2 linked regions of the Sus scrofa genome follow. The protein of the gene in region 2 interacts with the protein of the main gene of each other region in a pairwise test. Links are inferred from orthologs where the notes say so. Each region holds a gene or a part of one and is shown on either strand. Other genes may lie near its edges.

Region 1 (3,800 bases), on a different chromosome or scaffold from region 2:
GAGACAAGGTGAGTAGAGGGTACGAGGAAGATGGTATAAAAGTTAGGAAATGGAGGGAGGTGGGCTGGAGGGGCAGGAAGGAGGGTCTGAGGAACAGAAAGTGAAGTTTGAAGGGGTTCTGGAAGAGGAAGTGGGATTGGAGGGTCCCTTGGAAATGAGGAGGTTCAAGGGCAGGACTTGGCATCACGAGCATTGAACGGAGTATCCTTGGGCAGCAAGAGAACATCCCAGAAACGAATTAGGATCTGAATGCACAGAACAAGGCTTTCAGGGAGAGCACGTGGGGTTAGGTAAAAAGGAGAGTTGAGGGATGGGAACAGAGTTCGAGGCACAGGAGGAGGGTTCTGGGAAAGGACGTAGGAAGCCAAGGGACAGGAAGTGGGGTCAAGAAACAGGAAGTGGGGGAGGCAGTGCTCCAGGGCCAGGAAGTAGGGGTCTGAGGTACAGGTATGGGTCCCAAGGCACGGAAGGGAGAGGTTCCAGGGACAGGAAGGAGGTCCATGGGTTGGAAAGAGGGTCTGATGGACAAGAGGAGAGTCTGATGGATGGGGTCTGAGGGGCAGCAGGGTATTTGGGAGCTGGAAGAGTCTGAGCACCTGGAAGCGCATCTGCTGGGCCTTCTCGGGGTCCACAGCAGCAACGTGCTGGTAATGTCGCAGCGTGTGCCTCTGCTCCTTCTGCTCTGCTCGCAGGTAGCGCCGCAGGGCCAGCAGGATGCGCTCTGGCTGTGGAAGGGATGAAGGCTGCCCGGGCCCGCCCCACGCTTTTCACCCTGTGCCCTCTGCCCCCACGGCTCCCGCACCTGAGGCGGATCCCCCTGCAGCGCTGCCAGGAACCCTTCCAAGGCAGCCCGGCGCTGGTCGTTGATGAGGGCGATGACTCGGGTGGCATGGGTCTCCACCAGACGCTGTCGCTCACCAGACACCTGCTCCTCCAGGGTCTGCAGAATGGACTGGAAGTGCTGCAGAGGGGATGGGCACAGGGTCAGGAGAGGCGTGGGTGGGTGAAACGTGGGTCAAAGATAGTCTGGAAAAGTGAGGTTATAGGGCCCAGGGGGAGGGTGGTGCAGTGGAGCCAGGTCTGGGCAGAGTCAATCTGGGGTAGGACTAGATCACAGGAGACTGGAGGGGCTGGGGCTGCAGGGCCAGATAGAGTCGGGGCAGGACTAGGTCTGCTGGGAGGCCAGCTGAAGGGGTCAACTGTGTGGGTGGGAACAAACCATGAAAAGGGATAAAGTATTATAGGAAAGGTAGGGCTGGAGGCCTGGGCAGGGCCCACTGGAGACAGGCTGTGGCTAAACGAGACTAGAGGGGCTGCAGCAAGAGTCAGGGAGTGGGGCTAACCTGAGTGGGGTCTATGTGGGGTCGGGCTGTACCAAGGTGAGGTCAAGAGAGGGGGTCCCAGGGTCATGAGGCTGGGCCTCCCGAGGAGGGGTTGAGTAGTAGAGAGATTAGTGGGCAGGACAAGAGTCAGGGGACAGGGCCTAGCATCAAAGAGAGGCTGAGAAGGATCTGGCTGTGTCTGCAGGGACCCAGCTCGGAAGAAGACTCCAGAGCCAGCCCTTAAGAGGTTAGGATCAAGTTAAGACAGGGCAAAACATGGCCAATAGGAGGAGGTGGGCAAAGTCAGGTCTGATCTGGGCCGAGAGGGGCAGAGCCAAGTGTAGGGTGGGGTGGGGAGAGCTCCCTATCTGTAGGAAGGGGTGAAACTGAAGGAGGCCAGACAAAGCCTGAGCCAGGCGGAGACCCAGCATGCCCCAGGTGGTGGACAGGCATGATGAGGACCCCCTAGGGCTGTCCTACCTCGTTCAAGGCCTGTCTGTCGGCTTTAGGTAGGTTCTTGGACTGGTTGTCTGCCATGGCCCATTCACGCATCACCTGGGGACAAGTGGAGCTTCAGGATCCTAGACTCTGCCCTGCTCCACCCAGTGAGTCCTCCCATCGCTCTTCAGAGTCTCCTTATCCCTGAAGTCCCACTGCTGCTTGGATTCCCAAGAGAGAGGATTCAGAAGGAATTTATGTATGTATTTATTTATTTTGCTTTTTAGGGCTGCACCTGAGGCCTATGGAGGTTCCCAAGCTAGGGGTGGAATCGGAGTTGTAGCTGCCGGTCTACGCCACAGCCGCAGCAATGCAGGATCCGAGGCGTATCTGCGACCTATACCACAGCTCACAGCAACCCTGGATCTTTAACCCACTGAGTGAGGCCAGGGATCAAACCTGTATCCTCGTGGATACTAGTCAGATTCGTTAACCACTGAACCACAACGGGAACTCCAGAAGGAATTTGAAGTGGAAGCGTACCATGCACCACGGTTACCATAGAATCTGGTGGCTTCACAATGGGATCCTAGGTGGGTCAGGGATCCTTGGGAGGGTGTTGGGGGGGGTTGACAAGGGCTTGGAGAGCCTTTAGAGGTAGTCTCAATGCATCCCTGAGGCCTTTCCTGCTGAAGTTCTGCTTATGGGGGATCCTGAGGCCCCCAGCATCATCACCTCATTAATCTGGCGCATCCTGCGCTCCTCCAGGTCCATCTTAGCCCGCAGGAACCCCTCATGCTCACTGATCTCTCCAGGCATGCCGAAATACACATCCACACCGTCTGTGGGCCTCGGGGTGGGAGTCACTGCAAGGCCAGGAATCAGGGAGTCAGCCTGAAGCCCATCTTCAGGTCACCTTCCCTTCCCATAGAACTGCATTTCCTAGGGAGCACTGGAGACCAACGTGAGTTCACTGGAGCCATGCTGCTGCCTGGTGTGATGGGCGATACGGCTCTGGACTGGGCCTTTTCTTGCAAGCTTGGGAATCCATACACCCCCCTCCAAGCTTTCCTCAAATAATCCTTAGGACCTACCAAATGGCCCCTCCATTTCCAGGTACCCCCAAACCATCCTCATCCTTTGCATTCCTCACAGGCTGGCCCTTCCACCTGTACTTTATCCAAAGCCATTCCCAGCCCTCCCACTTCCCCCCAACAGGGCTTCTCTCCCACAGGCCCCTCCCAAAGGTGCCCCTACACTAAGGCTCCCTTAAATCATCCTCCCTCCAGGGTGGAGGGGACTGGGGGTTCAGAGGCTGCCTCACCTTTGCTGACCCCTGCAGGGGTGTGGGAGCTTGCGGGTGGGACCTTTTCCTCCTCTTCTTCCTCCTCAGCCCGTGGGGGCTCCACAAAGTAATCATCTACTGGCTGTAGGAAGGATTCCTCCTCTTCCTCGTCCTCACCCCCCTCAACTCTGCCCCCTAGGGGCCAGGACCGGGTGGAGGGGTCACTGGGGGAGCAGAAGACCCGAGACAGTAAGAACCTGGGCCCAGGGCCCCGGTTTCCAGCTCCGGGTTGGGCATGGAGGCTTCCCTCCCACTCACCCAACTGCTGTCCCAGATGGGTTGGGGGTCGCTGGAGGCGGGCAGCACACATACTCCACACCTCGGAACCGATCCGCGCCACAGGGCAAAAGCATGCCCGAGCCATGCAGGATGAGGCCCTGAGAGTTGCAGGCCTGCGGGAAGAGTGGGCCCATATGCCAGGACTGTGGGGTGACGGGGAGCCGGGATGCCTGGGTCTTGGGGTTGATGGGGCTGGGAGCCTGGATTCTTAGCTCTGTCCCTGTGGGAAGAGGGGGCTGAGGGCCAGACCCTTGGGTTCTGGAGGAAGAGGGTGTTAGGGCACTGGACTCCTGCCTTCTGGGGTGGGGGCAGGGAGTGGGGAGTGAGGATGAGGGGGTCAGGTCCTGACCTCCTGTGCCTCCTGATGCCTCCGGGTTGAACTCTCACACTGGTCCATGCGCTCCTGGTGCAAGAAC
Region 2 (4,579 bases):
TGATAGCTCAGTTCTGGAGGCGGAGGCTGTAACTGCACTTGCGAGACCTGGGGTTGGGAAACACTAGGCGGTACGCTACCCGCTGGGAGGCTCTGGGCGCCCACGCTGCTGCCGAAGTCCATCGGCGGAAGGGCCACAGCTTGAAGGGCCGCTGGTGGTGGCGGCGGCGGCGGCTGCTGCAGCTGCACCACAGCTGGGGCCCCCATCTCGCCGCTCCCCACGCTGTCCGTGTAGTGACTCAGGGTGCTGACGCTGCTGCTCACTGAGCTCCCACTCGTGCTCTCCCTCTCGGAGGTCACCTCAGGCGGGTTTTGTTTTACAGTTTCCACCGCTTTGTTTATCACCACCCCTTCGGCAGGAGGGCCGGCGTTTTCCTTCTCGTAGAACTCGGTGCAAGTCCATCTGCCTTTTTTAAAAGGCTCCGAACTAGAGTCTAACTTTACCACTCGGAACCTCGACGTGTTCACTGCGGGTTGCTGCTGCTGACTCGAGCCCACCGTCACCCCCGCAGCGGCGCTGGCAGCGCTGTTCACCGCAGCGGAGGAAGAAAGAGTACCATTGCCCATGCCGCTCAGGAGATTCACGTTGACACCACCGCTCGCTATAGGCCCCACACTCACGCCAGCAGCACTGGGAATACCGCTGGCACTGACATTAGCGTTACCAAGCATGCTGCTGGTCACGCTGGGATTAAAACTACCCACGGCAGCAAGGTTAACGTTATTCATCGCACTAGTGCCAGGGACAGAATTGATACCTATACTGCCCGTCGTACTCGAAGCTCGGATACTAGGCATGACGGGGGCAGGCGAGCCACCCGATGATACAGCAGAAGTTGGAGCAGCGGGCATAACAGTGTCAGAGCTTCCAGTTGTCGAGAGTTTTCTGGATCCGGGACTTGAGGGTGGCCCTCCGGGAATGGATGTACTAGTCACACCGGCATGGGATGGATGGTGGTGCCCGTGGTGGAGGTGGTGCCCATGGTGAATGTGATGGTGGTGATGGAGGGGGTGTGGATGAGCATTCCCATTGATCACAACATTCTGTTGTGGAAGGGAAGGCAAATGAGGCTGAGGAAGGTGGGGCTGGTTGGGAGAGACGGCCCCAGGGGTCTCGGCTTCCTGGAAGTTATTGAGCGTCTCTTCCGAGGAGCTGCGTTCGGGCTCCCCTAAGTCAGTAGCCCTGGAAAGTGACACATCAAGGATCTCGGAAGAAGACAGATCTTCCGTGTGCGATTCATCCAGATCATCGTAGCTCTCGGTGTCCTCTGCGATGCTGTTGTTAGAGCTGATGCTGGCGGAGATCTGAGCCGGGGTCACGCTAGTTATCTGGAAGCCACTTTTCTTTTTCATCTGGGTTCCGCCTGGTGCAAGAGGCTGTGCCTGCAGCTGAGCCTGCGAAAGGAGGTTCAGGCTTTGTGGAGGCGGAGGCTGTGGTCCCGACAGAGAAGATGCTACAGGAGGTGGCGGCTGGAGCAGCGACGGAGGCGGAAAATCCTCGGAAGATGGGGCACTACTACCAACGCCGGTACCTGCTGCACTGAGAGCAGAGGCGCTGCCACCGCCACTGCCCCTTCGAGGGAACATTGCCGGGTGCGCCATCTTCCTAGCACTAATGTCTGCAGCGGCCGCGGCCGCGGCGGCGGTGGACTCGGGCGGCTGGTGCATTGTGTTGGGGACCGGGGGGCGGAGGAGGCGCGAGCAATTTCCTTCTGCACCGTAATCTTTGTGTTCAAGACGCCCGGGGAGGAAAACGGGACCTGATGCTCCACCCGGCGCGATTCCTCCTTCTCCTCCTACTCCTCCTCAGCCGAGGGCGCCGGCCGCTGCTGCCTTCGAGGGCGAGCTTCGGGAAGGGAGGATGAACGAGGGTGAACAGGGCGGCCGAGGACCCGAAGGGGGTACCCCTTCAGCCCTTCACCATTCACTTTCCCCTCTAGCCTCACACCCCCCTTTATATTCCGCTTCACGTGGGGTGCGGGGCGGGAGGGAGGGGGAGAGCAAGGGAGGGGGGAGGCTAGGGGAGGGGGCGGGAAAGCCGAGAAATGCCCACCTTCTCCGGACAACTCCGAAGCCACCTCCACCCCTCCTCCCGCCGCAGCGGCGGCGGCGGCCGCTGCAAAACCCTCCCGGTGGCTCTGCACGAAGGCAGCGCCGAGCGAGTGTCGCCTTCCCCTCGCCACCCCCAGCGCCGCCGCCGCCGGCGAGCCCCGAGCTCAGTGTCGCTCAAACCTCCCCTCCCAGCCCCGCCGGCCCCGCTCGGCCCTCCCCCCACGCCCCGCGGACCCTTTCAAACCCCCTGGGCTCGCGGCGGCTGCTGCTCCCTGAGGAAACGCTGGCCGCGGCTGGGGCCGGCGCGGCGAGGCTCGGAGCGGGGCGGCGGCGGGGCGCCCGGTACGGTGAGCCCAGCAACGAGGCGCGGGCGGGCGCGCAGAGACGCCGGGTCCTCGCGGAGCACGGCAGGGGCGCGGCGGCGGCGGTGGCAGCGGGAGCCCAGGGACCGCTCCATCACTGGCAGCCATGGAGCCCGAGCATTTTCCTCCCTCCGGGCAGGCGCCTCGGCTCGGCACACGTCCTGGGGGAGGAAGGGGCCGGCGCCCGAGCCTCCCCGAAGGGCGGCGGGACGTGCGCTAAGCGCCGACGGTGCGAGCCGCTTCTCGTCCTCTTCCTCCGCAGCCGGCTCGTCCTCACCCCGCTGCTCCCGCGGCCCAGGCAGGAGGGGGCCGCAGGCAGCGGCGACGACTCCTTTCTCGGCGGCGTTGGTGGCCAGACAGGCTGGTGCAGCGACTGCAGCCGACGCCGTTCAAAGGAACGAGAGGTGGGGTTGGTCGGTGTCGGCGAACAGGGCGGGTGAGTGGGTGGCTGCCGAGGGAGGGCGGCGGGCGGGGAGGGGGCTGCGGTGGTTGTTACTAGTGCTCTTCTCCGGCTCCACCGTATCCGCGAGTCTCTCGCGGCATCGGCAGAGGAGGGACCAGCGCCCGAGCGCAGAAGGAGGAGGGGCGACCGCCGGCGAGAGGAGGCGGTGGCGGTGGCGGGGGGAGGGGGCAGGCTGAGGAGAAGGAGGGAAGATGGCGTCTGCGCATGCGCCCCGAGGGCCGCAGCCATAAAGCCGGATCTGGCGGCGGGTCTTCGGGCCTCTCCGAGCTCCGGGTGTCTCGGCGGAAATTGCCGAAGGCTGGCGGAGGCGCCGAAGCCGCCGCCGGCGGCGGGGGTGGGGAGTTTCGGCCGGGGGAGCGAATCCGGGTCGGCCGGAGAGATTCTGCCTGATGGGGGTGGGGCCGGGTACGGGGCGCGCGCAGGTTAGGTGTGTCCGCTCCTTTTTCACACGCGGCCGGCGCGCGCGCGCGGGCACGCGGCAGGAGAGGGGGCGCGGTGGGGAGGGGCTGGCGGAGGCCGCTGGAGCCCCGGGTCTCGGGTGTACGCGCCCTGGGTGGTGTCCCCCCGCCTGCGGAATGGGTAATGAGGCTTTTCTCCGCAGCAACAGCATCACGAGTTTCAGTTCCCAGGAGTCCGCCGCCGCCACGACATGAGTCAGGCTTTCTTCTTCGGCGCGTGGCGAAGCCCTCCTCCCCTTCGCCACACCTGGGCTCGCCCCCGGCCCTCGCCGCCCTCGCCCCCTCGGAGGATGCCCCAGCCTGGTGCTGCGGGGTCGCGGAAGGCCGGTGGCTCCTCAGGATAGGCGCTCCCTTTTGTGCGGTGCAGTTGCTGCTGCCGTGCGGTCCCCTCGTCCTTCGACGGGCAGGGACGAGCCAGCCGGGCAGATGTTGCAGCTGTTTGCAGTTAAATGCCTAGGCTCTTCTCTAGAGAGGGGAGCGTTTGCAAGCCATTGTTTCCTGGAGGGATGCAGCAGCCCAGCCTAGTAAATAACCGATCTCAACAGGTGGAGCTTACCTCCAACCGGGATATCTTCTAGTTTAATTGTCCAGGCTGTAGCCCCTGCAGGTTTGACCTAAAAGACAAAGTGGCCTAGTCTTTGTGGCAATACAAGTGCTGTGATAAATGAATACTACCTTTTAGAGGTAGAAAAGAAAGAAAACCATCTGCGATTCAAGTTTAAAAACATAAACAAAATAAAAACAAAATCCTGCATGGGTCCGAGCATAGTTCTACAGAAGCAATGTTAGCTTTGATTGGAGGCAATTTACTGGAAGTTGCTTCCCTGGCATTACATGTCAAAACATTCTAGTTCTAAGCAGTTTTTACTACTGAGAGCCGTACATCTCGCCCAGGAATTAAAACACAGCAAAGTAATGTGGAAAACCTTAGAGAGAAAGGTTTTTTTTTTCTACTTAGGTTGTTGAGGAACTAAACGTTTAGGGTTAGACCTCTGATTCATTAAATCTCACAGACTAACGGATCTACAGTCCTGTTTCAGGAGCTTGGTAAAAAGTAGACGGCAGGGTTTCCATAGACGCCTCATTGGTGATTCAACATGTTACCTTTAGGTTTCTCTCAACTTTTCCCCTCATTCCATCCCCCAAAGGTTAGGAGTATCACTGTTGTTATATTCTTATATAAAAACACATCCTCAACATCCTTGTATAGCCTGTATCAAAATTTTGATCTTTTGTGGCAGGGGA

Evidence for each region.
Region 1: the proteins of TSC22D1 (region 2) and APLP1 interact in a two-hybrid assay, tested with the Homo sapiens proteins (2 studies listed by BioGRID and IntAct). The link is inferred for Sus scrofa from reciprocal best matches to the Homo sapiens genes TSC22D1 and APLP1.

The regions. Positions count from the first base shown.
Region 1 is NC_010448.4:45,288,715-45,292,514, reverse strand, and holds part of APLP1 (amyloid-like protein 1), read right to left. Parts: coding exon 3,734-3,800; intron 3,498-3,733; coding exon 3,364-3,497; intron 3,270-3,363; coding exon 3,085-3,269; intron 2,627-3,084; coding exon 2,496-2,626; intron 1,878-2,495; coding exon 1,803-1,877; intron 962-1,802; coding exon 803-961; intron 726-802; coding exon 597-725; intron 1-596. UniProt on the Homo sapiens protein: May play a role in postsynaptic function. The C-terminal gamma-secretase processed fragment, ALID1, activates transcription activation through APBB1 (Fe65) binding. Couples to JIP signal transduction through C-terminal binding.
Region 2 is NC_010453.5:22,517,161-22,521,739, reverse strand, and holds the start of TSC22D1 (TSC22 domain family protein 1), read right to left. Parts: upstream 2,949-4,579; 5' UTR 2,818-2,948; coding exon of another isoform or gene 1,861-2,817; 5' UTR 1,668-1,860; coding exon 1-1,667. Other genes in the region: atherin-like, read left to right, coding at 1,861-2,817. UniProt on the Homo sapiens protein: Transcriptional repressor. Acts on the C-type natriuretic peptide (CNP) promoter. Acts to promote CASP3-mediated apoptosis.